Linked DNA regions of Anolis sagrei. The protein of the gene in region 2 interacts with the protein of the main gene of each other region in a pairwise test. Links are inferred from orthologs where the notes say so. Each region holds a gene or a part of one and is shown on either strand. Other genes may lie near its edges. The genes, in order: TTBK2, KLHL12, PRR13 and PDGFRB.

What was found.
Region 1: the proteins of KLHL12 (region 2) and TTBK2 interact in binary tests that used the Homo sapiens proteins (3 or more experiments, as listed by UniProt). The two-hybrid records come from large-scale screens. The link is inferred for Anolis sagrei from reciprocal best matches to the Homo sapiens genes KLHL12 and TTBK2.
Region 3: the proteins of KLHL12 (region 2) and PRR13 interact in binary tests that used the Homo sapiens proteins (3 or more experiments, as listed by UniProt). The two-hybrid records come from large-scale screens. The link is inferred for Anolis sagrei from reciprocal best matches to the Homo sapiens genes KLHL12 and PRR13.
Region 4: the proteins of KLHL12 (region 2) and PDGFRB interact in binary tests that used the Homo sapiens proteins (3 or more experiments, as listed by UniProt). The two-hybrid records come from large-scale screens. The link is inferred for Anolis sagrei from reciprocal best matches to the Homo sapiens genes KLHL12 and PDGFRB.

The regions. Positions count from the first base shown.
Region 1 is NC_090021.1:286,669,431-286,676,488, forward strand, and holds the start of TTBK2 (tau-tubulin kinase 2), read left to right. Parts: upstream 1-4,054; 5' UTR 4,055-4,361; intron 4,362-7,058.
Region 2 is NC_090024.1:206,377,192-206,384,152, reverse strand, and holds the start of KLHL12 (kelch-like protein 12), read right to left. Parts: upstream 3,015-6,961; 5' UTR 2,761-3,014; intron 203-2,760; 5' UTR 146-202; coding exon 1-145. UniProt on the Homo sapiens protein: Substrate-specific adapter of a BCR (BTB-CUL3-RBX1) E3 ubiquitin ligase complex that acts as a negative regulator of Wnt signaling pathway and ER-Golgi transport.
Region 3 is NC_090022.1:190,607,785-190,615,058, reverse strand, and holds the start of PRR13 (proline-rich protein 13), read left to right. Parts: upstream 1-4,248; 5' UTR 4,249-4,359; intron 4,360-7,274. UniProt on the Homo sapiens protein: Negatively regulates TSP1 expression at the level of transcription. This down-regulation was shown to reduce taxane-induced apoptosis.
Region 4 is NC_090022.1:85,965,979-85,973,008, forward strand, and holds the start of PDGFRB (platelet-derived growth factor receptor beta), read left to right. Parts: upstream 1-4,006; 5' UTR 4,007-4,223; intron 4,224-7,030. UniProt on the Homo sapiens protein: Tyrosine-protein kinase that acts as a cell-surface receptor for homodimeric PDGFB and PDGFD and for heterodimers formed by PDGFA and PDGFB, and plays an essential role in the regulation of embryonic development, cell proliferation, survival, differentiation, chemotaxis and migration.

The DNA.
Region 1 (7,058 bases), on a different chromosome or scaffold from region 2:
TCACCGGGTTGCTGTAAGTTTTCCAGGCTGTATGACCACATTCCAGAAAGCATTCTCTACTGACATTTCTCGTGCATTTATTGGCAGGCATCCTCAGAAGATAGGCAGGAAGCAGCCAAGCTTTGAAGCTGCAAGGCTATTAATTGCTAATCAAGGTGATCAATTACAGCATTCAAACTTGCCTTTAACAGACAAGAGTTCTTTCTCCCACCTTGGACATTTCAGAGATGCATAAATACCGCTTGCCTAGTCTCCAACAAGCAATGGTATTCCCCGTAGTCACTCCAACAAGCAATGGTATTCCCCGTAGTGAGAGCTGGAACATAGAGAAGGCTGAGCGAAGGAAGATAGATGCTTTTGAACTGTGGTGTTGGAGGAAAGTTCTGGGAGTGCCTTGGACCACGAGAAGATCCAACCAGTCCATCCTCCAGGAAATAAAGCCCAACTGCTCACTGGAGGGAAGGATATTAGAGACAAAGTTGAAGTATTTTAGCCACAAAATGAGGAGACAGCAAAGCTTAGAGAAGACAATTATGCTGGGGGAAATGGAAGAAAAAAGGAAGAGGGGCCGACCAAGGGCAAGATGGATGGATGGTAGCCTTGAAGTGACTGGCTTGACCTTGAAGGAGCTGGGGGTGGTGACGGCCGACAGGGAGCTCTGGCGTGGGCTTGTCCATGAGGTCATGAAGAGTCGGAAGCGACTGAATGAATGAACAACAACAACAAAGTCTCCAACAAACCTCACAACCTTTGAGGGTGCCTGCCATAGATGCAGGTGAAATGTCAGGAGAGAATGCTTTCTGGAACATGGCCATACAGCCCAAAAAACTGACAGTAACCCTGCTTTCTTTTTGTAACACAACTAATTACTTTTATTTTGCTTAAAAGCCTTCTTTTGTGTATAAAATTCTATGAAAAGGCACGGTTGTTGAGATTTATTCAGTTACATAATTTCCCCTCTAAAAATACAGGGGAAGATGTAGCATTTCTATTTTTAACCCCAATAATTCCTATCACTTGATGTGTCTTTTGAAGGACTACAGATTTCCCTATCATTGTGATCCCAGGCGATTTGCTGGTTACCCTTTTTATTCCAAACCTGTTTCCCTCAGCTGTTACATACCTGAACGTGATGTTTTCCTTTGCCCCCATCTACAAAAGATGGAATTATTTTGTGAGGGGGAAGAGAGGAGTGCGACCCTTTTAAACAGGAAGGAAACTTGAATGGGTTGTTGTAGGTTTTTTCGGGCTATATGGCCATGTTGTAGAGGCATTTTCTCCTGATGTTTCGCCTGCATCTATGGCAAGCATCCTAAGAGGTAGTGAGGTCTATTGGAACTAGGAAAGTGGGTTTATATATCTGTGGAATGACCAGGGTGGGGCAAAGGACTCTTGTCTGTTGGAGCTAGGTGTGAATGTTTCAACTGACCACCTTGATTAGCATCTGATGGCCTGGCAGTGCCTGGGGCAATCTTTTGTTGAGAGGTGATTAGATGTGCCTGATTGTTTCCCCTCTGTTGTTTTGCTGTTGTAAGTTTAGAGCTTTTTTTAATACTGGTAGCCAGATTTTGTTCATTTTTATGGTTTCCCCCTTTCTGTTGAAATTGTCCACATGCTTGTGGATTTCAATGGCTTCTCTGTGTAGTCTGACATGGTGGTTGTTAAGAGTGGTCCAGCATTTCTGTGTTCTCAAATAATATGCTGTGTCCACGTGAAGTCGAACATGACCCCCCCCCCCCAAAGATAGTAACTTATAGTTTTGCTAAGGACAAGGACACCAGACTAGATAATAAGGTTTAAGCCTTGGTCAATTTGCCAAGACACTAACAACAACAAGGACCCTTCCCATGTTAGATAGTGTGTACATTTAACCAAGGTTTTATGCCCTATGTTTCATATATAGCAGAAGGTAGCACATTTATTACTGAGAAACCACCTCCCTTTATACTTATGTGCTCCCTTGAACTTCTATGGGACTCTAGTGGGAAGGATAAGTGGGTATGTTTTCTATATCGTGATTTCTATATTTCTATATTCCTCCCTGTGTATATGACCTTTTCCTGACCCTTTTTCCCAATTCCCCTTTATTGAAAAATGTATAAAAATACAAGGCAGCCGCCCCTGCGTGACCCTGGAAAGAAGGAAATCTCCAGTTGAAAAAGACTCTTATCAAAAGACACTTTTTGCATGGACAATAACAAAGGATCATGACCTCTGGCCTCGGAGTTGGCCCCCCAGAGGAAGTGGTCACTTGGCATTTATGATCATATCTCAATAGGACAAAGGAAGCCTTCGGAAAGCCACACCTTGTCCTAATCTGTTACTGATTCAATTTTTATCCACTGAAACCACAGCCACCTCATTGTTCCTGTCTCTCAGTAATGGAAAAATCCGGATTACGTTTATTGCAGCCACTCAATGACAATAGGAATGGCTGGCTCACAGGTCCCAGGACTCGCTGGCCGCTTGGACATTTCCTACCTCCATAATCATCTCAAGAATCCATTGTTTCCCTCTCATCCCGCCTCCCTCTCTCCTGAGGCAGAAGCCCAGTGATTGGCCCAGGCGCTCAGGAGGATCTTCGTATTTACTCTTGTGGCTTGTTCTCGGTCTTGCAGCTCTTCTGATGTCTGAGGTGGAGTATCCATTGGCCTGTAGAGCCCAGTTGAGGTGGTTCAGTTCAAGGCTTTAATGGTGCTTCTTTTTTGACTCGGGTGATGGTTGGCGTTTTTATGTAGATATCTATCTGTGTGTGTGGGTTTTCTGTAAACGGTGTGACCTCATTGTTGATCTGGTTTGCGGATGACTAGGACATCTAGAAAAGGCAGTCTTCCTTCATTTTCTTTCTCCATGGTTATTTATTTGTCGTGTTAGGGCAACCAGTCATTTATATTACATTTCTAACAGAACAAAGCAAACAAACAGACAAAATACAAAATTTGTGAGTTTGGTAGTTGGTTAAATGTCCTTTGACCAGTATCTGGCCACTTGGAGTGCCTCTGGTGTTGCTGCAAGAAGGTCCTCCATTGTGCATGTAGCAGAGCTCAGGTTGCATTGCAGCAGGTGGTCAGTGGTTTGCTCTTCTCCACACTCGCATGTCGAGGATCCCACTTTGTAGCCCCATTTCTGAAGGTTAGCTCTGCATCTCGTGGTGCCAGAGCGCAATCTGTTCAGCGCCTTCCAAGTTGCCCAGTTTTCTGTGTGCCCAGGGGGGAGTCTCTCCTTTGGTATCATGGTGAATTGGATGTTTGGGTGGATGCTGTTCTGCTGATCTGGTTGGCGGATGACTAGGACATCTAGAAAAGGCAGTCTTCCTTAATTTTCTTTTTCCATGGTGAACTGGATGTTTGGGTGGATGTTGTTAAGATGGTCCAGGAACCTTTCAGTTCTTCTTCTCCATGGTTCCAAATGGAGTAGCTATGGGGAGCCCTCTCAGTCTGATCATAGCTAATTTCTACATGGCACACTTTGAAAAACAAGCCCTGGAAACAGCAACAAAAAAGCCCACTCTATGGTTCAGAAATGTGGATGACACCTTCACCATTTGGATCCCTGGAGAAGAGGATTATTTTGTGAGGAGGAGTGTCACCCTTTTAAACTGGAAGGAGACTTCAATGTTCAAAAAGAATAAGACCGCTTTGAATCAGAAGACCAAGCACGTCAGGACCCGTGACGCAGAAAACTGGGTCTGAATCCCTTTTGGAGAAAAATAAATACAACCATTCTGACAAGATTCTGAGGCAAAACAACAATTCCCAGAATGCCTTTCTCTCTGTGTGTCTCTCCCCCCCCCCCCCCCCGCTTCTCCCCTCAGCAGCCTCATAAGCAACGGCGGCGTTTCTAAGCTACGGCCGCGCGCCAGAATGATTGGCAGGGGCCTTCCTCCAATCCGTTAGTGAGAGCCTCGCCTCCAAGCCAATCCCGTCGCAGGACGAAAGGAGGGCGGGCGGGAGAAGGCTGTTGGAGCGCGAGAGGGGAAGGCGCTTGGATGGAGGGCGAGGGGGGAAGGCGGGGGCTGGCGGCGGAGCTGCGGCTGCGGGAGGGAGGCTGCCGGGGGAGGAGGAGGCCGAGGCCGGGGCAGCAGCAGCAGCGGGAGGAGGAGGAGGAGCGCCGCTGACGGACTCCCTGCCTGCCCGCCTGCCTGCCTTCTTTCTCCGCCCGTTGGCTCTTCCAGGCCTCGGAGTCAGGCCAGGCCCCGCAGTCGCCATAGAGACGGCGGCGATGACGGCTTCCTCCGAAGCCATGGCCCACAGGAGCCCGGCGCCGCAGGGCTAAGACGCCCCACCTTCCTCCCTACCTTCCTTTCTCTCTCCCTCGCTTTGATTCCCCCTCATCGCCTCAGAGGAACGGCCGCGTTCCAGGTGAGAAGAGATGGAGGAGTGGGCCTAGCTCGAGAAGGCTTTGGGGGGATGCTGCGTTTCGGGGGAGGAGGAAGAGGAGGAAGAGGCGGAGGGAGAGAGAGCGAAGGATCACCTTCAGCCTCGCCTCATCATCACCATCCTCTTGTCTCCGCACCCGGCTATTATTCTGGCTTTACTGAAGGGGGCGGGGATGCGGCATTTTAAAAACCCCCACAAAAACCATCCCAAATCATCTCCTCCTTCTGTATTGTTGTTGAGGTTCCTGATAGATACAGGGTGTTTTTGTTTGTTCTTGGCGGACCCATCCCAAGGAGGCAGAAGATGGGATGGTGTTGTCTTGAGAAAAAGATAGTGGGTTGCTGTGAATTTTCCAGGCTGTATGGCCATGTTCCAGAAGCATTCTCTCCTGACGTTTCGCCTGCATCTATGGCAGGCATCGTCAGAGGTTGTGAAGGCTGTTGGAAACTAAGCAAGTGAGGTTTATATATCTGTGGAATATCCAAGGTGGGAGAAAGAACTCTTGCCTGTTCGAGGTAGGTGTGAATGTATTGTTGAAGGCTTTCATGGCCAGAATCACTGGGTTGTTGTAGGTTTTTTCGGGCTATATGGCCATGTTCCAGAAGCATTCTCTCCTGACGTTTTGCCTGCATCTGTGGCAGGCATCCTCACAGATTGTGAGGGCTATTGGAAACTTAGGCAAGTGAGGTTTGTATATCTGTGGAATATCCAAGGTGGGAGAAAGAACTCTTGTCTGTTCGAGGTAGGTGTGAAAGTATCGTCATGGCCGGAATCACTGGGTTGTTGTAGGTTATTTTGGGCTATATGGCCATGTTCCAGAAGCATTCTCTCCTGACGTTTGGCCTGCATCTGTGGCAAGCATACTCACAGGTTGTGAGGGCTGTTAGAAACTGAGGTTTATATATCTGTAGAATATCCAAAGTGAGAGAAAGAACTCTTATCTGTTTGAGGTAGGTGTGAATGTATTGTCGAAGGCCTTCATGGCCAGAATCACTGGGTTGTTGTAGGTTTTTTCGGGCTATATGGCCATGTTCCAGAAGCATTCTATCCTGACGTTTCGCCTGCATCTGTGGCAGGCATCCTCAGAGGTTGTGAAGGCTGTTGGAAACGAAGCAAGTGAGGTTTATATATTTGTGGAATATCCAAGGTGGGAGAAAGGACTCTTGTCTGTTCGAGGTAGGTGTGAATGTGTTGTCGATGGCTTCCATGGCCGGAATCACTGGGTTGTTGTAGGTTTTTTTGGGCTATATGGCCATTTTCTAGAACATGGCCATATAGTCCAAAAAAACCTACAACAACCTGTAGATGGGAATGTTTCAATTGGCCACCTTGATTAGCATTAAATGGTCAAGCAGTTTCAAGGCCTGGCTTCTTACAGCCTGGGGGAATTCTTTGCTGGGAGGAGATTAACTAGCACCTACCTCAAACAGACAAGAGTTCTTTCTCCCATCCTGGACATTACACAGATATATAAACCCCATTTTCCTAGTTCCCAGGAGACCTCACAACCTCTGAGGATGCCTGCCATAGATGCAGGCGAAACGTCAGGAGAGAATGCTTCTGGAACACAGCCGTACAGCTCCGAAAACTTATAGCAACCCAGTGATTTCGGCCATGAAAGCTGGGTTTGCTTCTTCCTTCTCCTAAGGTCATTGCAGGGACAGACTATTGGCAAGAACTTAGAGGAAGGGCAATGGCAGGTTGAGCATCCCTTAACCCAGATTTTGCAATACAAACGCAGATTTTTTTCAAAACAAATTCAGGAATACTTTGCAATACCAAATACTCCAGAATTTACCAGCCCCGAACCAGAAATCCCAAACAATCCAGAACTAGCAATCCTGTAACTGGGAGTCTGAAATCCAAAGTAATCAAATTGAGCATCCCTTAACCGGAATTTCTAAATAAAAAGTACTCCAGAATTGGGTTGCTGTTAGATTTCCGGGCTGTATGGCCATGTTCCAGAAGCAATCTCGCTTGACATTTCACCTGCATCTATTACAGCCATCCTCAGAGGTTGTGAGGTTTGTTGGAGAATAGGCAAGCGGAGTTTATATATATGTGAAATGCCCAGGGTGGGAGAAAGAACTCTTATTTGTTAAGGCAAGTGCGAATGCTGCAATTGATCACTTTGATTAGTATTGAATAGCCTTGCAGCTTCAAAACTTGGCTGCTCCTGCCTGAAGGAATCCTTTGTTGGGAAGTGATTAGCTGGCCCTGATTGTTTATTGTCTGGAATTCCCTAGTTTTTGAGTATTTGTCATGAGATTTATTTATTTGATAGTACCACTTTTTCTTTTCTGTTGATTAAATGTACATAAACATTGTTCCCGGCACCAAAATTATTTTAAAAATTATATGAAATTACTTTCAGCCTATGTTTAGAAGGCATATATGAAACATTTCAAACAAGGGATATTCAGCCAGTTTGAGTCATAAAACTGTTAATGTTGATATGCCTGTGTTTCTTTTATTCATGCGAATATGCTCTAGCATGGAGACAGATGGAGATTGTGGCTAAACATTGCTGTTGCCATTAGCAGTTACATGAAGATATAAATACAGACACATAGACTTACAGCACTTTTAAAAGCACAGGTATGGTTCAGTGCCAGGCGTATTTAATATCTGCCAGCATTGAGGGTTAAAAGAAATCTGCTAGAGGGGATGGCTATTTAT
Region 2 (6,961 bases):
CAGCTAGCACAATCCGATGGGCTGGAAAGTATTTTTGTTCCACACGAAGGGTCACATCACATAACGTGTTACTTTTTCGCAGAGAATTCATTGCATTGAGAATGGATTTGGCATGAGAATTAGTCATTATATCTTTAGGAGCCATAGTGAGTTACTCCAGCCAACAAGAGAGCTGTGGAGGCAGGTTCAACGTATCAGTAACCTGTGGGATAAAAACATCTGTTTACTGATGAACACAAGGCCAAATTTAACAAAGTCTAAAGATGAAGAATGAGGAACTTTGTCTCTCCTGTACATATCTATAAATTAGCTTGTAGATCATTCTGCTCTAGCCATTTTCATGCAAACTCTTCTATTCAGTTACATTGCAATATACCTCAAAATAATCAACTATTAAATATTGGCTTATTATCAAATGTGCAGTAGGTGCACTGTAGGACACCAACACAATACAAAGCCACAGACTGAGATAATACAAACATCAGATGTAAGGACAAGATGTAATAAAGGTGGATCAGTGACAGTGCAGGGAGATGGAGCGAGGAAAATTCAGAAGTTGCCTAGGTTAGACATACATTTCTATTACTTTTAAATCTTCCTATTATACTGTGTGTGTATACATACATACATACACACACATATGGTATATATAATTTTAGTATATTAGTTGTAAGGTTAACAAAAGATGCATTCGAATTTTCAAAATACAGTTGGCCATTAGTTTCCATGGATTCAACCATCTAAAACTTGAAAATATTTTTTAAATCAAGTGTCTGATGTATCTGAGGGCATCTAGGGTGCATCTATACCGGGGCAAAATTCAGCCCTCCAGGCGTTTTGGACTTCAATTTGTCTGGTTGTTAGGAATTGTGGGAGTTGAAGACCAAATCAACTGGAGGTTGAAATTTGCCCATGCCTAATCTATACTGTAGAATTAATGCTGTTTGGCACTATTTTAACTGTCCTGGTTCACATGGATGACTGAGTGTCATATCCTCATGAAGCCAGAAAAGCTGGAATGTAAAATTACCTCTGTGTCTATATATGTTGCATGTCTAAATGGGATTAAATGTTTGCCATGTATATGTGCATTGTAATCTGCCCTGAGTCCCCTGCGGGGTGAGAAGGGTGGAATATAAATACTGTAAATAAATAAATAAATATTTGCTTTCTGATGGTTCAATGAATACAATCCATGTTTCATACACATTATTAAAAACACTGTGCACAAAATTACCTCCAGGCTACTTCTCTCTCTATATATATGGTGTATATATAACATGAATTAGTTTAATGTTTAGACTCCACGAATACTCAGTAGGGATGTAAATACATGGTGGACCAAAGGTCACAAGTTAAACATTTAATAATGCCTTCATTATTTTGGCTTTAATATACACCCCATTGGGAGTGTATACCCCATGGGGAGATAGGGTGGGATAAAAAAAAAGTAAAGGTTTCCCCTTGACATTAAGCCTAGTCGTGTCCGTCTCTGGGGGGTGGTGATCATCTCTATTCCTACACCAAAGAGCTGGTGTTGTCTGTAGAAGTCTCCAAGGTCATGTGGTCAGTATTACTGCATGGAGCGCTGTTACCTTCCAGCCAGGGCGGTACCTATTGATCTACTCATACTTGCATGTTTTCAAACTGCTAGGTTGGCAGAAGCTGGGGCTAACAGTGGGAGATCATCCCGCTCCATGGATTCGAACTGCTGACCTTTCGGTCAGCAAGTTCAACAACTCAGCGGTTTAACCTGCTGTACCACTGGGGGCTCCAAAAGCAGGATATAAATATTTATTTATTTAAGACATTTGTATCCCGCCTATATCAGCCTGAGGGTGACTCAGGGTGGCGTACAAGTTGGCAACAATTAGATGCCATGTATTAAAAAATACATACATATGTAAAAGCAAAACATCACAATACATTTAAAAACTATAAAAACCAATGATTAATAAAAATTATATAAACTGTCTTCTTGTTCAAATCCTCAACCGTTCCATTATCTTAGTTGTTCCCTAGTTCATTTCCAATATGAGTTTTTGGTCATGCTGTGGTTCCAAACGCTTGCTCACTCTTTTTTGAAAGGTCAGGAGGGAAGGGGCTGATCTAATATCCCTAGGCAGGGAGTTCCACAGCTCAGGAGCCACCACAGAGAAGGCCTTTTTTTTTTACACAACATCATATACAGTGCTGAGTGTTTCAAAAAGAGGGACCCAATTCGTAATCGCTGTTATCTCTGCAGCCACAAATTAAACCCTTATCCCTTGTAACGGTGGGGTATAGAGTTTCAAATGATGATTACTAGAACCCAAACATCCCACTGCATAGTGTAGATCAGGCATGGGCCAACTTGAGCCCTCCCTCCAGGTGTTTTGGACTTCTACTCCCACCATTGAGGAAGGGGAGGAAGGTGAAGGTCTTGTAAAATGACAACTACAGTTCACCAGAATCTAAAGCAAGCACGGGCAAACTTGGGCCTTCCCTCCAGGTGTTTTGGACTTCAGCTCCCACAATTCCTAACAGCCTCGGGCCCTTTCCTTTCGAGGGGGGAAAGGAAGGGGCCTGAGGCTGTTAGGAATGGTGGGAGTTGAAGTCCAAAACACCTGGAAAGAGGGCTCAAGTTGGCCCATGACTAGTGTAGAGGAATTCAGGTACATTGAAACGGAATACTTTGTTTTCCAATAGGGAATGCCTTCAGTGACAAAGGCCTGATAACACTAGACAGGCCGCCAAGTGGGGCTGTGTTCCTTCCTTTACCTGGCGTTCCCTCCTGGGGGGCGGCCCAGAGGCCTGGCTCCCGGCTCAGCCTCCTCGGGCGGCAAGGGGCCGGCCGGGCCGCCTCTCCGCCTCCCAGCAGGCCCTCCGCCCGTGCCGTCGGCCGCGCCCTCCCCGCGGGGAGGGGAGGGGAGAGGAGGGGAGAGAGTCCCGGCTCCTGCGGCCCGCCCGTCCCGCTCCTTCCTTCTCCTCCTCTTCCTTTGCCGCCGCATCAGGCGCGCCTGGATGACGTCAGCCGCGAGGACGCCGCTCCTTGGTTTCAACCTGCGCGAAGAGAAGCCTCGCCGCCTAGCGGCTGAATGGGCGAAAAGGCGCGTCGCGGGCGGAGGGATTCGGCTTCCTTGTGGTTGCCAAGCAACAGGGAGTTTCTACGTTTCGGCCTCCGCGTTGTGATAAAGTCCCTCAGTCAAGCAGAAGTCAAGGGAGATGGAGCAGTGCTTGCTCTCTGGGGTCCCTCCCACACCTGAATAAAACCCCACATTATCTACTATGAACTGGATTATATGAGTCTACACTGCCCTCTAATCCAGTTCAACAAGTTAAACCTGAGCCAACAATGTGATGTGGCGGCAAAAAAAGCCAATGGGATTTTGGCCTGCATCAATAGGGGCATAGTGTCTAGATCTAGGGAAATAACCCCTCTATTCTGCCTTGGTTAGACCACACCTGGAATATTGTGTCCAATTCTGGGCACCACAATTCAAGAGAGATATTGACAAGCTGGAATGTGTCCAGAGGAGGGCAACTAAAATGATCAAGTGTCTGGAGAACAAGCCCTATGAGGAGCGGCTTAAGGAGCCGGGCATGTTTAGCCTGAAGAAGAGAAGGCTGAGAGGAGATATGATAGCCATGTATAAATATGTGAGAGGAAGCCACAGGGAGGAGGGAGCAAGCTTGTTTTCTGCTTCCTTGGAGACTAGGATGCGGAACAATGGCTTCAAACTATAAGAAAGGAGATTCCATCTGAACATGAGGAAGAACCTCCTGACTGTGAGAGCCGTTCAGCAGTGGAACTCTGTGTGGTGGAGGCTCCTTTGGAAGCTTTTAAACAGAGGCTGGATGGCCATCTGTCAGGGTTGATTTGAATGCAATATTCCTGCTTCTTGGCAGGGGGTTGGATTGGATGGCCCATGAGGTCTCTTCCAACCCTTTGATTCTATGATTCTATGAAAACAACTAATCTGCATTTTATATGGCAGTATAGAAGGGGCCTTAGCTCAGGGGTTTCAGGGCCCTTCCAGACGGCCATATCACCCAGAATATCAAGGCAGATAATCCACAGTATCTGCTTTGCACTGGGTTATCTGAGTCCACACTGCCATATAATCCAGTTCAGTGTGGATTTTATACAGCTGTGTGGAAGGGGCCTCAAACTCATTCTCATTGAAGGCGCCATCTGCCTGATAGTTGACTTCAAAGGGCTGAATCTGCCAATACAGAGGGGCAACTATAACTTTTTTAAAGTGCTCTTTAAGTTTGATCCAATGTTAAATGACTGGAATCCCTGGTGGCGCAGTGGGTTCGAATCCGGGGAGAGGTGGATGAGCTCCCTCTGTCAGCTCCAGCTCTTCATGTGGGGACATGAGAGAAGCCTCCCACAAGGATGATAAAAACATCAAATCATCCGGGCGTCCCCTGGGTAACGTCCTTGCAGATGGCCAATTCTCTCACACCAGAAGCGACTTGCAGTTTCTCAAGTCGCTCCTGACATGACAAAAAAAAGTTAAACTATTTTATTTTTTTAATAAATTTTTATTAAATACATAGATACATAAATACATAGATAGAGGGAGAACAATATATAGCGGATAGTGCAGTAGGAAAAATACAGGGGTGCCCTGTTATTGGCGATACTCCCAAGGGATGTAGGGTGGGGAGGTAGGTAGGGAAGGGGTCGGATGAAGATGGGGCAGGGGTAGAGGGGGGGTGGGTGGGCTATAGGGTAGTTAAAAACTTTGAGCTTCCATCTCTTCAATGAGGATTTTCTATAAATATTTTCAGTTTAGCTTCTTTAATGCTTCTTCCTTTCTTGCGACACTGGATTTGTGATTTACTCTTTTGTGATTTTATTTATTTATTTATTTTTATTTTTAATAAATGATGTCTATTTTCAATTTCTTAAGGAAGACCTTTACTAAGCCCCAGTTCGTAGGTTTACTTGGGATGCCATGGTTTGGTGTTACCCAATATGTCAGTTCATCCATGGTCATTATATCAAGGATTTTATTGATCCAGTCTTCTCTTTGAGGGGCTTCTCTCTGTTTCCATTTTTTAGCGAATTCGATCCGTGCTGCTGTAATTAAGTAATGGAATAATTTGTCATTATTTTTTTCCTCCTTAATGTCATACATTCCCAGGAGAAAGAATTCTGGTTTGTTTTCTATTTGTATTCCTAAGATCTTTTGAATATCTTTTTGAATCATTGTCCAGTATCTTTTGGCTATGGGGCAAGACCACCAGATGTGGAAGAAAGTCCCAATCTGGTGTTCGCACTTCCAACATTTGTTTGAGGTGTTTTTATAACATTTTGAAATGATTTGAGGAGTCAGGTACCACCGATGGATCATTTTGACAAGATTTTCTTTTAATTCATATGAGTAGGTTAATTTCATTCTTTGGTTCCAAACTTTCTCCCATTTATTCAGTTCAATTTGGTGGCCTATGTTTTGGGCCCACTTGATCATTGAGTTTTTTACTTGTTCCATTTCAGTGGTCCACTCTAGTAATTTTTTGTAGAGTTTTGTGATAAGTTTGTTGTTTGTCTTCAATATGCTGTCCAGGAAACCATTTTGATCAGCAAATTCTGCGATTTTGTCTATCTTGTAGCTATCAACCAGTTGTCTATAGTTTAGCCAAGAGAGGTTAGGAAAGATTTCTTTTATTTTCCTTTCATCTTTAAGTACATATTTTCCTTCTGCCTTTTCTAGGATGTCGCGATAAGTAGGCCATTGTTGCCAGCCCATTTCTCTCCGGTGAAGGGCTTCTAGGGACGAGAGCCACAGTGGAGTTTTATTATATAGTCTTTTTTTGTGTCTCTCCCATATTTTCATTAGGCCTGCTCTTATATAATGATTGTTAAAGTTCCTTTCGATCTTTGTTTTATCGTAGTGCAGATAGGCGTGCCAGCCTCGCCTGAGGTCTACACCTTCTAGGGAAAGTAGGTTTTTGTTTGTTAATAGGATCCAATCTCTGATCCATATCAGACCGCAGGCTTCATAATAACACCTCAAGTCTGGGAGGCCGGGGCCGCCTCTTCTTTTGTCATCGATAAGTATCAGACGCTTGATCCTGGGCTTTTTCCCTTGCCATACAAATTTGGAGATGGTTTTGTTCCATTGCTTGAAGATGTTTACATTTCTGATTACTGGTAGGGACTGAAAAGAGAATAGCATCTTGGGCAAGATGTTCATCTTTATTATAGAGATTCTCCCTAGCAGAGACAGCTTCAGATTTTTCCAATTGTCTAGATCCTTCTGTACTTCTTTCCATATCTTTTCATAATTGTTTTTTATTAGTTGGGAGTTTTTAGCTGTTAACGTTATTCCCAAGTATCGTATTTTCTCTACTACTTTAAATTCTGTTAGGGTGGAAAGCTCTTCCTTTCTTTTCTGGGACATATTTTTAGTTAGTATCTCCGTCTTTCTTTTATTTATCCTTAGGCCCGCTACTGACCCGTACTCTTTAATTTTAGTTATCCATTTGGAGATTGTTTCTATGGGGTTGCTGATGATACACAACAAGTCGTCCGCGAAAGCCCTTAGTTTATATCTTTCCTTATTTATTTTGATGCCTCTTAAGTCAGGATCCTCTCTGATAGAATTAAGAAGGGTTTCTAAGCTCAGGATGAATAATAGAGGCGACAGGGGGCATCCTTGTCTCGTGCCTTTACAGATTTTCAGGGGGCTTGATTCTTGCATGTTTATTATCATCCTGGCTTCTTGGGAGTTATAGATTGAATTGATGGCATTATGGAACTGATATCCTAAGTCTAGTTCTTTGATTAGTAATTTTAAGTAATTCCAATTGAGATTATCGAACGCCTTTTCGGCGTCAAGACTTAGTAGTGCTAGTTCTTCTTGGTTGTTCTTCTCGAGGTATTCTATGGTGTTTAGAATAATCCTAATATTGTCTTTTAATTGCCTGTTAGGCAAAAAACCTGCTTGTTCCTCTTTCACCCATTCTT
Region 3 (7,274 bases), on a different chromosome or scaffold from region 2:
CTGGCTTAGGCCATATCTACATGGCCAAAATAAAAAAGGACTCATTACTGAGCTCCTATGGCACATAGCTGGAGTTACAGTACAATCACTGCATCCAGATGTTAATCCACATCAACAGAACATGGATTGATCCCACAGTTTCAAAGCTTTGACCAGCTATTTTTTGACAAGCTGATGGCTGCTTGCCACCAGCAAGCAGCTCCATCCCGGAGGCTTGCTGTTGATGCCATTGTGATGTCATTTCTGGTGCCAAGCAATGTGACCTTAAGTGTGTGTCCCTTCATTCTGAGAGGAAGCTGCCTGCTGATAGCGATGCACTGACAGCCCCAATGCATTCTTGGGACTGATCGGCTTTATGGATAGCCAAAATGTTCCAGGATGCTACAAAGTTAGATTTATCTGGTTGATGTAGATACACTTCTAAATCTGGTCAGCCTCTCCAATCCTTTTCTGCACTATCTCTGTAACTTCACAGAGAGAAACAGACAGGAAACTTGATATGGCTGGAGGGTTTTTTGCTTTGTTTTTTTTTTTTTTTTTGGATAAACGTCATCCCCAACATGAAATTGGAAATTCACTTGCTAGCCCGAATTATAGCAAACCTATAGAGTTAACAGATCCAACTCACTCAATGGGTCTATCTGAGACTAATGACGTGAGTTAGGCAACCATTTTTATGGTTTGTGGATGGGGCTCATGATAGTTATATAATTTTCAAATAGGTTTAAATTTATATTGCGATTGTGCTCTTATTTTTGGACACCATGTAGCAAGGGAGCAACTAAAACCAAAAGATTTCCTGAGCTGTATCAAAGTCACAGCATCAGTGTTGCTAGAAATTCAAAGGTTTTTTTTTCCTGGGAAGCTAATTGAAAATCAGGAGCAAAGAGCCCGGGGTGGGTTTTTTTTAGCAGTAACCTTGATGGCGCAATGGCTTCCAGGTATTAATACAAATATAGTGCAAAGACGTATCTGAGTGACTTTGCAACATACAAATCTCTTTTCCAACAAGCCAAATATACTTCACAGACAAAAAAAAGAATGGCCCCATGCAAGCACTATGATTTGTCCATGACGACATAACACTTTCTTGAATTGTTACCGGAAGATGAACGACAGCCAGTGGAGCTCCTTAAACAGGACGATTGACTGCTCTCTGTAATTTGCCCCCGTTAGAATTCTGGCTGCCGAGCATTGAACCAATTGAATTTTCCGGGCTGTCTTCAAGGGAAGCCCCACGTAGAGTGCATTGCAATAGTCCAATCTAGAGGTAACTAAGGCGTGGACCATCATGGTAAAGTCAGACTTCGCAAGGTATGGTTGCAGCTGGCGCACGAGTTTTAATTGTGCAAAGGCCCTCCCAGCCACCACTGACACCTGCGCATCAAACATCAGTGCTGAGTCCAGGAGGACCCCCAAGCTGTGGATCTGCGCCTTCAGGGGGAGTGCAACCCCGTCCAGCACAGGTTGCCACCCAATACCCTGGTCAAGTATATTGGGTGTCTTGTCGGGATTGATCTTCAGCTTGTTTGCCCTCATCCAGGTTGATACAGCAGCCAGGCACTGGTCCAGCATCCGAGGGGCTTCCTTGGATTCGGTGGGAAAGAGTAGTGGAGCTGGGCGTCATCCGCATAGAGATGGCACCCAACTCCAAAACTCCGGATGACCTCTCCCAGTGGTTTCATATAGATGGTAAAAAGCATGGGAGACAGAATGGAGCCTTGCAAGACCCCACAGGTCAATGGCCAGGGGTCCGAGAAGGTGTCACCCAGTTTTACCATCTGGGAACGACCCTCCAGAAAGGACCGAAGCCACAGTAAAACCGTGCCCCCAAGTCCTATTCCGGAAAGCCGACCCAGAAGGATACTATGGTCGATGGTATCGAAAGCTGCTGAGATATCCAAGAGAATCAGCAGGGTCACACTCTCCCTGTCCAGTTCCCTGTGGAGGTCATCCACCAGAGTGACCAAAGCCATCTCGGTACTGTGCCTGGGTCTGAAACCAGACTGTGATCGATCTAGAAAATCGGTGTCATCTAGGAACCCCTGGAGCTGCGAGGCAACCACCCGCTCCAGCACTTTGCCCAAAAAAGGGAGGTTAGAAATTGGTCTGTAGTTATTCAGCATGGATGGGTCAAGGGAAGTCTTTTTCAGTAATTTTACCACTGTCTGCTTAAGGCAGGATGGGAATTTCCCATCCCAATGATGCATTGATGATGGAGATAAACCAGTCCAACAACCCACCCTTTGCCAATTTAACTAGCCAGGAAGGGCAAGGGTCCAGAGCACAAGTGGTTGCCCTCACAGCCCCCAGGATCCCGTCAATGTCATCAGGCAAAATAAGACAAAAAGAATCCCATAAGATCGGACAGACGGGAGCCTCGGTTACCTCATTTGGCATTGCATTTAAATTGGAGTCCAGCTCGAGACGTATCCGAGCGACTTTGCCTGCAAAATAGTGCGTGAAATCGCTGCACCGAGTTGCCGTGTCATCAGGGATGTCCTTCACCTCAGGTGGGTGGAGGGTGTCCCCAACAACCCAGAACAACTCTGATGGCCTATTGGCTGCAGACACTATGTGGGCAGTCGAGAAGGTTTTCTCGGCTGCCCGCCGAGCCGTGGAGTAAGCCCTAATAGTGTCTTTAGCCTGTGCTCGGTCAGAGATGTCATCCATTCTTTTTTATCACTATCCTGCTATATCATGTTGAACCCACACAATTTGTCAGATTTAAGCAGGACTGATTTCAGATAAATGGTTCTGCATTTCTTCCAAAACATTGTTGGTTTTTGAAGTCAACCTTGTAGAACAGGCATGCAGTCGTTCAACTTCTTTTAATTCTTGGTGGCACTCCTATTTCTCTCTCTCTCCCTCTGGTTTCGCTTGTTCCAATGCAAACTCTGCTAGTGTACTAAATAAATACCGTGTCCCTTTGTTCATCAGCTCCGCCTTTTGATATGGACTTTGTTTTCATAATAAGCCAGTCAGCCTGTTCAGGAGAAACGACACACCTGCTGCAAATCCCTACTTCAACACACAATAATATTGGGTTGCTGTAGGTTTTTTCGGGCTATATGGCCATGTTCTAGAGGCATTCTCTCCTGACATTTCGCCTGCATCTATGGCAAGCATCCTCTGAGGATGCTTGCCATAGATGCAGGCAAAACGTCAGGAGAGAATACCTCTAGAACATGGCCATATAGCCCGAAAAAACCTACAACAACCCAGTGAGTCCAGCCATGAAAGCCTTCGACAATACACAACAGTATTGCTTTATTTCTCTATTAATGCAGTTCCAAACCGATATTGAAGAAAGTGGTTTGGTTGTGTAGATGATTACATATAAAGTCCTAGAATGGGTTTGTAGCCCAGATGGTGATTATATAACAGACCAGTGATGCTCATGAAAGAATTTCTTTCAAGTCCTTTTGTGGAGTTTATTGCCTGATTGCTGCAGTTTGAAGCTAGCTTTTAAAAAGGTAAAAGTTTCCCCTGACATTAAGTCTAGTTGTATCCGACTCTAGCGGGTGATGCTCATCTCCATTTCTGGACCAAAGAGCCAGCGTTGTCCATAGACACCTCCAAGGTCATGTGGCCAGCATGGATACATGGAGCACTGTTACCTTTCCACAGAAGAAGTACCTATTGAGCTACTCACATTTACATGTTTTTGAACTGCTACATGGAGTGCTGTTACCTTTCTGCAGAAGCAGTACCTATTAAGCTACTCACATTTGCATGTTTTTGAACTGCTAGGTTGGCAGAAGCTGGGGCTAACAGCGGGAGCTCACTAAATGGCCTTAAATGGCCCTGCTTTCCAAAAGTGTAGTTCTGAAGCTTGAGAAACATCTACAAAACCCAACCACCCATAAAAGTTTAGGGGTGCATCTACATCGTGGAATTAACACAACTTGATACCAACTTAACTTCCATAGCTCAATGCTATGGAGTCCTGGGTGTTGTAGTTTGAGGAGGCCCCAAAACTTTTGATCAGAGAAGGCTAAAACCCTGTAAAACTATAAATCCCATAGCATTGAACCATGGCAATTTAATTTTTGCAGTGTTGATACAGCTTAACTTCTGTCTTAACCAAAGTCTCAGTCTGTATTTATCAACACAAAATCTATGACGTCTCCTTTACACACACCCCATTTCTCAGCTCTTTGAAGCATAACTGTTGATGGACATCTTCCTTAGCCTATAGGAAGAGGGCGTTGAGAGCCGCAAGCCAATGGGAATGAAAGAGGTGGAGATAGAATCAGGTTCCAGGAAGTGGAGGCTTCAGAGTTGCAGAGAGTGAAGAAGCAGGAACAGAAAGGGCTGAAGGGAGGCAGGTGGGTGCTCTTGTGATCAGGTGTAATTGTATGTATTACAGTATACACTTTTAATCAGACGTATATAAACTCTGGCTTTTGTATTGTTTTTCATTTGTATAGTTGAAAACATGTTGTTAGCCTCCTTGAGCCCTCCTGTATGGAGAAAGGAGGGAATATCAATGAGTATCATAATCATCACCATCAAATATCCTGTTTCTGTGTTGAAGACGCAGTGTCTCCCTGCACTGCCTGGCTTGTAACACGATTTTTGTCTCTGGGTTATAAATGTCATTTCCTAATTGACTCTATCATAAAAACATGAGGAAAGTTTATTTAAATGCAAAAACTTTGTTTATGGTGGACATCCTGCCGCACATTTTTGCTATAGCTTTTCAATGACTATTTCATCGAGTCCTAACCAATTGAACATAGTTTGTGGCAGCCACAAAAACAAAGTTTCTGGAGTATAACAACTACTTTCAAAGTAAGTACCGCACAATTAAACAGGAATTAATATTTGGTGTGGTGGAGGCTCCTTCTTTGGAGGCTTTTAAACAGTAGCTGGATGGCCATCTGTTGGGGATGCTTTGAATGTGATTTTCCTGCTTCTCGGCAGGGGGTTGGACTGGATAGCCCATGAGGTCTCTTCCAATTCTATGATTCTATGAAATCAGGAACAGGGGTAAAAATCAAATGTTGTTACATAGTGTTATTAAAGTGTGGCCCTTTTTGTTGTCGATTGCTTTTAAGTAAACTTTGGCTTATAGTGAACCTATGGGTGAGAGTCTTCCAGTAGCACTGAACAGTCGCTCTCACTGACTCAAGGCTTTGGCTTCCATAAGTGAACCTATCCATCTGTAGTGTGATCTTATTTTCCATCTGACTTCTAACTTACCAGTCAGTATTGTCTTATTTTCTGGTGAGCCATGTCCCCCCCCCCTTTTTTTTGGTCGTGTCAGGAGCTACTTGAGAAACTGCAAGTCGCTTCTGGTGTGAGAGAATTGGCCGTCTGCAAGGACGTTGCCCAGGGGACACCCTGATGTTTTGATGTTTTATCATTCTTGTGGGAGGCTTCTCTTGTGTCCCCGCAAGAGGAGCTGGAGCTGATAGAGGGAGCTCATATGCTCTCTCCCCAGATTCGGACCTGCGACCTGTTGGTCTTCAATCCTACCAGCACAGGGGTTGAACCCTCTGTGCCATTGGGGGCTCCATGTCATGACAGGGCTAAAATATGACAGCTTCAGTTTAGTTGTCTTGGGGCTCTTCCACACAGCCATATAACCCAGAATATCAAGGTAGACAATCCCATAATATCTGCTTTGAACTGGAATATATGGCACTGTGGACTCAGGGCCCTTTCATACAGCCGTATAACTCAGAATATCAAAGTAGACAATCCCCAATATCTGTTTTGAACTGGATTCTCTGAGTCCACCCTTCCATGTATCCCAGTCCAAAGCAGAAAATGTGGGATTTTATTCAGCGGTGTGGAAGGGGCCTTAGTTTCTAGGGAGCATTCAGTATTGAACTCTTCTGGGGAGGCCCTGCTCTCAATCCTGCCTCCTTTGCAGGTGCGACTGGTGGGGACAGGGCCTTCTCCGTGGTGGCTCCTTGGCTGTGGAACTCCCCAGCAACATTAGATCAGCCCCCTCCCTCCTGGCCTTCAGAAGGAAAGTGAAAATGTGGCTTTGAGATCAAGCCTTCGGAGAATAATTGTAATGTAATAATAGATACAGATTATGTGCAATGACTACTGGAATGGCCCCAGATTAATGATTGTCGATGGTATGGTTTTCAACAGTGAATAAAATGTTTTCTAAATGTTTTGATGTGCATTAGTTTATATTCATAATTTAAATGTTTATATTATTTGTATGTTTTAAAGCATTGAATAGTTGCCTATATGTAAAGCCGCCTTGAGTTCTCTTCGAGGTTGAGATATGCTCTTGGGCACCCATTTATGGTGCCCAAGAGCATATCTCAACCTCGAAGAGATTGAGATATGGGCACCCATTGATATGCTCTTGGGCACCCATTTATGGGACTTCTTAGCAGTCCACCATATCTGCAGAACTCTTCTCCAGCCCCACATTCAAATGGGTTTAATTTGCTGCTGTTACTTTTCTTCAATGTCCAGACTTTTCTCAGAGTGTTTGAATATGTTAGATAAGCAGATAAACTAAGAGAGACTGAGAGTACAGGTGCTGGTCAAGTGTTCTATGCTGAAGGATGCGTTTGTCTGGAATAAAGATGGAAAAAGTGAATGTTCCAGCAAGATTTGTTGCTTAATTCCACACATTTTGGGAGATCGGAGGGCCAATCTTAATTGTTCCTATTGTACAGATGGGAAAATTGAACTCTGAATATAAAAGGCATTTTCTGACAGCTCAGTTATGGATCTAGGATTTGAATCCAGCTTGTTGTCTTATATATTGGATGGTTGGATTATAGCTTGATTGCTATTTGCACTACAGTAGTATTACTGTACTACTAGTGCTATTTGCACTACAGTAGTATTACTACAGTAGTATTACAGTAGTATTACTGCTGCCGTTCATTTTCCGATCCCAATTCAAGGTGCAGGTGCTCACTTACAAAGCCCTAAACGGTTTGGGACCTGCCTACCTGCATGACCGCATCTCCGTTTACGAACCCGCACGTTCCCTTCAATCATCTGGAGAGGCTCTGCTCTCGATCCCACCTGCGTCGCAGGCGCGTTTGGTGGGAATGAGGGACAGGGCCTTCTCTGTGGTAGCCCCCCGACTCGGGAACTCTCTCCCCAAAGACATCAGACAAGCCCCAACGTTGGCTGTCTTTAGGAAGAGCCTGAAGACCTGGCTGTTTCAGTGTGCCTTTCCAGAATAGGAAACTCCTGGTTTCAAGTCCCAATTGCACTTTGCTAGAGACTCAGGATTATCTGCACATTGCACCTACCTCCATATACCTCTACATATTACCTGT
Region 4 (7,030 bases), on a different chromosome or scaffold from region 2:
GTATTGCAAGAAGAAAGCAGTGAATTCCTCAGAAAGTGTCTATGTATATTGTCAGAGCTAGGATGGGATTTGCTGTATGAAGCAAAACATGGTTGCACTCAAACTAGGTAGATTTATCTGGATGCAGTAAAAAAAAAAACCTTGGAAAAACAAAACATCCACCTTTGGTTAGCATAAAGTCTTCCTCCCTGAGTGTGATCTTCCATTGCCATTGTCTTTGTTGTTTATTCATTCAGTCGCTTCCAAGTCTTTGTGACCTCCTGGACCAGAGCTCCCTGTCAGCCATTGCCACCCCCAGCTCCTTCAAGGCCAAACCAGTTACTTCTTTTTTTAAAATATTTTTTATTGATTTTTCACATTTATTACATACTATTGCATTTTGTACATCAGCCTCTTTAACATGTTGTTTTATTGTTTTGCTTTGGCATTTCCCCCCCCCCCCCTTTCTCTTTTTTTCCTTTTTATCACCACAGTGCTCCCCTCCACCCGTCTCAAGCCACCATTCTTACATTTCATCTGTCCAAAATTTCATTTCTTCTTGTGATGGTAATTTTCCTTCCTTATTTTTTAATCCATTTACCACAAATCTTCCCCATACAGCATCAAAATCGCTTTGTTTCCATGTACCTTTTTAAACCTTTAATATACATGTCAATTTATCATTTATTGCTATTTTCCATGCTTCTTTATACCACTCCTCTATTTGTATATTCATTTCTTTTTTCCAATTCCTTGCTATGAGCAGTCTTGCTATAGTTAGTAAGTTTGTTATCGCTTCTTTATCTTCCTTTTTCAATTGCTTATTGTTATATAATGATAGTAAGGCTATACTAGGACTTTTATCTATTTTCATATTCATTATAGTTTCTATTTCTCTAAATACTTTCTCCCAAAAATTATTTACATATTTACATTGCCACCACATGTGTATATATGTTCCTGGTTCTTGACACCCTCTCCAACAATTTATTGAGTTATTTTTATTCATATATGCTATTCTTACCGGTGTCAAGTACCACTTCCATATTAACTTGTAATAATTTTCTTTAACTCGTATCGATAATTTTTTAAAATGTCTTTGTCCCCATAACTGTTGCCACTCTGTTTCACTTATTTTCATCCCTAAATCCTCTTCCCAAATCTCAAGGGTACACTTTTTTATTTTTTCATCCTTCATTTCAATTAGTATCTTATAAATTTTGCTAATTATACCTCTCAAGTTTTCATGTTCTTCTACAGCCCTTCCAAACCAGTTACTTCAAGGATATCAACCATCCATCTTGCTCTTGGTTGGTCCCTCTTCCTTTTTCCTTTCATTTCCCCCAGCATCGTTATCTTCCATTGTCATTACTCAAACCAAAGGGAGGCACTTCTTCCAGAGAAATCTTTGTCTCCCATGTGGGCAACAAAGTTCCTCATTTGTTTTTTGAAATCAGTTCTATACGTCCCCAGGTTTGATAAATAAGCTGCTTACCTTAATAATATCTCAAACATGGAGTAAAATGTCTAAAAGATCACAAAAGGGATCCCTGAAAAAACTTTAAAGCAGTTCATACATTCCCTCAAGCAGTAATACTTCCTTCATCTGTAATACAAAATAAAGGACTTTGTGACCTTCCCTCCCCCCCTCCCTCAAAATGTGACACTTAGATTCCAAATCCAGGGGGCAGCAAAGGTGTCACAGCTATGGTTTTGTTGTGGATTCCACTGAGATTTGTCAAATGCAAACACAATAAATGCATATCATATTGAAGCGAAGTTGTGGTACTGGTTTTCATTTTAGAAGTTTTCTTTAACTTTTCAAATAGGGCAGTACCGTGGGATCTTAATATAAGCCGAGGTTTGCTTCCAGGGCCCATGTGGATTTCCAAACTGATGGATAACCCAGTCCCATTATATATAATGGCATAGTAAAAAAAAAAGTGTTCCTTATATAAAATGGTAAAATGAAGGTTGGCTTTGGGTTTTCTTTTAAATTTCAAGCTGTGGGTGGCTGACTCAGTGGGTAATGAGGGTCAACTGTTCACCATACCTGTTCCAGGCATAACAAAGCTCAGCCCTCCAGGTGTTTTGGACTTCAAGTCCCACAATTCCTAAGAGCTGGTATACTGGCCGGGATTTCTGGGAGTTGACATCCAAAACACCTGGATGGTTGAAGTTTGCCCATGCCAATTTAGAACAAGTTCTTTAGGACTGGTTAGATTCAAGATCACTGTGTGTCAAACACAAGGCTCCTGGGTCAAATCCAGGCTGCAGAGTCATTTTATGTGGCCTGTAAGGCATTCAATGCCAGGGCAACACTGTTACATGTATAGTCTTGAGATTACAACCAACCCTTTGAAGGCGGCCTTATGGCTGATGTGGCCCTTGGTGAAAATGGGTTAGACGCCCCTGCTCTAGTTACATCTAGACTACAACTCCCACCCAGCCTAGCCAATGATGAAAGGTGATGGGAGTTGCAGTCAAAAGAAATTCAAGGGAGCCAATGCTGCCCATTGCTCCATATAAACGCTCAAGTGGAAGAGGGGCCTGGCCTCCTCCTTGGGGTTTTGCTTTGCACTTCTTCTGCAGAACTAAGATTTCCTTTGGAGGGGATTCAGCCCGCGAGTGGCCTGTTATGTTCCTTGGGCCTCGCAGCTGGGCTGGAGACAGAGCCTGCTCACGCCCTCCTCCTGCCGAAGGGAAACGGGCAAGGCCGAGGCGCAACGCACACCCCCGTCCCACTCGGGCCTGTCCACCCTGCCATTGTTCCCAAAAGAAAGGCGCTGGTAAACAGCGGCTCCGCCCAGCAGACGAAGCTCCTCGGAGTCAGCCAGTCACCCTCCTCCTCCTCCTCCTCCTCCTCCTCCCTGGCGATAAGGCCTCCAGTGGCAGGACCCCCAGCCGCCCTCCTGCTTTGCCCCTTGGCGTTTCCCCGGGTGTCAAGGAGGGGGCCGCGGGGCTTTGGATCCGCGGCGTGGATGGAAGGCCCCGGCCTCCTTTCTTTAATAAAAACATGAGTCAGCGCCTGGCGTGGGCAGCGGATTCTCGGCACATCCCCTCATATCCTGGGAAAGGGGAGAAGGCAGGCAGGCAGATTGGCTGGCAGGGAGGAGGGGAAAGGAGAAAGAAAGCAAGAGGGGAAAGCAGGCGCCTTCTCACACACACACACGGGGGGGAGGGGGGGCAGCCGCCCCGAGGGGAAACGTCTTGGCCAAACTTTGGGTTCCTCTTGTATTTGTTTGGCTGAGTCTGAAGGAAGGAAGGAAGGAAGGAAGGAAGGAAGGAAGGGAGAGAGGGGAAAGAGGGAAGGAAGGGGAAGGAACGGAGTAAAAAGGAGGGAAGGGAAGGAAGGAAAGGAGGGGTAGGAAGAAAGGAAAGAAGGAAGGAAGGAAAAAGGGAAAGAAAGGGAAGGGAGGGGAAGAAAGGAAGGGAGGGAGGGGAAGGGAAGAAAGGGAGGGAGGGGAAGTAAAGAAGTAAGGAAGGAAGGAAGGAAAAAGGGAAGGAAGGGGAAGGGAGGGAGGGAGGGGAAGGATGGGGCAGGAAGGGAAGGAAGGAAGGAAGGAAGGAAGGAAGGAAGGAAGGAAGGAAGGAAGGAGGAAGGAAGGAAGGAGCTGGGTTTTTCAAGGGAGCTCTCCTTCATCCCCGCCCCCCGCCCCCAAGTCTGGGTGTTTGGGGCTTCCTCAGAACTTCCCCCAATGGAAACCAACAAAGGGCCAAGAGGCCAGCTTTCTTTTCTCTGTCCCCAAATTGTCCAAACAAATGTTGGAGCCGAGCAGGGTTTCAAAAGAGAAGCCGCTCTCCATCCGTGCGCTCGGGGCGCCGTGGCAGGCGAGGGAAGGGCTGCTGCTGCTGCTCCTGCTGCCGCTGAGCCCAAAGATGCGGAGCGCGTGCTCGGAGGGGGCGCGAGAAGGCCGGGCTGACTGCCTCGGGAGGCAGCGGGAGACCCCTTCCTGGCTTCCTCCCCTCCTTGCCTGCCTCCCCGCCCCCTTTGGCCCTCCGCCCCGCCTCCCGCCTCCCTCCCCCCCCCCTCTCTGGGCCGGGAGCAGGAGGCAAGCGCCCGGCTGGCTCCCTCCTCCTCCTCCTCCTGAGTTTGGAAAGGGCTGCCCAGCTGAGCTGAAGTCCAGGCTGGTGGGGCTTGCCTCCGGAGACACTTCCGAGGGAGCCGGGCGAAGGAGCCTCGCGGAAGCCCAGGGCGCCCTGTGGGGCCAAGCGGTGCCCCCTCCCTAGTGTGGGAGAGCCAGGTAAGCCCCCTCCGGTCCCCTTTGCTTTTCCAGCCGGAGAGCCAGAGCTGCAAATGGAAACTCTTTTGAACAAATCCAGATGTGGAGAGCGCGAGCCCGCAGCGCCCTTCCTTTTCCAGGGCAGCTTCCAAGAGGCGAAACCTGGCCACTTTCCTTTGCCTGCACGCCTTTGGACCTTCCTTCGGGCTTGTTTGGGGGGCTTTGGCTCCCTCGCGCCCCTTTCCTAAAGGCGCCGCATGGTGAAGGGGCTACAAGAGCTTTGGCTGGGTCTGGGGCCGGTTCTGAAGGGACTTGCCCAAGCTCTCTTGATGTTATAGCCGAATAGAGCTGGACTGGGGCTTCCTCTCCCTGCCTTGCCACCCTTGCTTCTGAAATGGCCCTCCAAGAAGCCAGGGGAGCGTTGATACCAAGGGATGGTCCCGAGCATCCTCTAGGCTCCGGAAAAGATCAGGAGGAGGAGGCTGGGCAGGCAGCCTGTGGCTTCTGGCAAGGGCTGGAGAGGAAGAGCCTGGCATCTCCCTCTAGAGACCATGGGCATCATAACCCAGCACCTCTAGGGGGTGAGGGAGGGCTGTTTTTGACCGATTATTGAACAGGTAACACTCATCATCCTGGTATGGGAGAACAGCTTTCTAAAGCACAAAACTTCAGAGCTACTAAAGAAACCCCATCTTCATCAGAAAGGCTACTTTCACACAGTCACAATGGTTGGGTTGCTGTGAGTTTTCCAGGCTGTATGACCATGTTCCAGGAGCATTCTCTCCTGACGTTTCACCCACATCTATGGCAGGCATCCTCAGAAGTTGTGATGTCTGTTCGAAACTAGGCAATTGGGGTTTAGATATCTGTGGGATGTCCAGGATGGGAGAAAGAACTCTTGTCTGTTTGAGGCAAGTGTGAGTGCTGCAATTGGCCATCTTGATTAGCATTCAATAGCCTTGCAGGTTCAATGCTTGGGTGGTTGCTGCCTGGGGGAATCCTTTGTTGGGAGGTGTTAGCTGCCCCTTATAGATTCATGTCCAGAATTCCTCTGTTTTCTGAGTGGTGTTCTTTATTTACTGTCCTGATGTTAGAGTTTTTTAAAAATACTAGTAGCCAGATTTTGTTCATTTTCATGGTTTTTAATCACACAATTTCCAACAGACAAGAGTTCTTTCTCCCACCCTGAATGTTCCACAGATATATAAACCCCAATTTCTTAGTTTCCAAAAGACCTCACAACCTCTGAGCATAGATGTGGGTGAAACATCAGGAGACAATGCTTCTGGAACATGGCCATCCAGACTGGAAAACTCACAGCAATCCAGTGATTCCAGCCATGAAAACCTTCGACAATACATTGAACAGGGGTTGTTCAGTCTTATCCATCAATGCTGCTGGTCACATAATATACATTGGAAATGCAGGAAGCTACTCAATACTACAGTTGCACTACAGTTGGCTATCTGTATCCATGGATTCTTTATCCTCAGATTCCATCTTGAATAGCTTGAAAATATTTTTAAAATTTCAAAAGCAAACCTTGGTTTACCATTTTATATAAGGGACACCATTGTACCATGCCACTGTATATCATGGGACATGAGCATCCATGGATTTTGGTACCCAAATGGAGTTCTGGAAGCAATCCCCAGCAGATACCAAGGACTCACTGTATTTGTCTGCCTAAGTAGCTGTCCAGAGTCTGAGGCTCAGGTTTTTCAAACTACCTGCAGCCTGATCCTCCTTTCTTCTTTCTATTCTTTTAGGGGAGTGGGGTGAGCTCCTGTCTGTCAGCCCCAGCTTGTCATGTGGGCACATGAGAGAAGCCTCCCACAGGATGGTAAAACACACATTAATGTTTCTCACAGCATGAAAGCTATATCCATTGTACAATAAGAGACATTGGCTACTGTTGCCATACTTTGTGTCTCTTTTTCCAGACCCAAACTACCAGAGGAAGTACTGCTGTAACAAAGTGGTTAAGAAAAAAAAAAAAAGCTATCTGCCAGGAACCTTCAGTTTGATTCTCTACTCAACTGTCATCTCACTGGACAGTTTCGCCTTTTATGCCAGGTCCACACTGTCATATTGCAACAGCAATATTGCCTCAGTTTACTATGGTAGTTATTGTTTACTTAGGTTGCTATGGTGATCATTGAGCTAAACTGCTAAAGCATGTTATATGCATTAAGAACCTAAAGCACTGATGAGCTCTCGGCATCCTCCATGTCATTCTTGAGGATGTTGTTGCCCTTGACTCCTGTGCACTTAGAATCATAGAGCTGGAAGAGACCTTGTGGCCCATCCAGTCCAACCCCCTGCCAAGAAGTAGGAAAATCTTATTCAAAGTACCCCTGACAGATAGCCATCAAGCCTCCGTTTAAAATAAGGAGCCTCCACCACACTCTGGGGCAAGGAGTTCCGTGGCTGAATAGCTCTCCAATTAGGAAGCTCTTCCTAATGTTCAGGTGGAATCTTCTTTCCTGTAATTTGAAGACATTGTTCCACGTACTAGTCTCCAGGGCAGCAGAAAACAAGCCTCCCCATGACGTCCCCTCACATGTTTATACATGGCCATCACGTTTTCTCTCGGCCTTCTCTTCTGCAGGCTTAACATGCCCAGCTCTTTAAGCCACTCCTCATAGGGCTTGTTCTCCAGACCCTTGATTATTTTAGTCGCCCTCCTCTGGACACATTCCAGCTTGTCAACATCTCCCTTTAATTGCAGTGCCCAGAATTGGACACATTATTCCAGGTGTGGTCTGACCAAGGCACAATAGAGGGGCAACATGACTTCCCTGGATCTAGACACTAAATTCCTATTT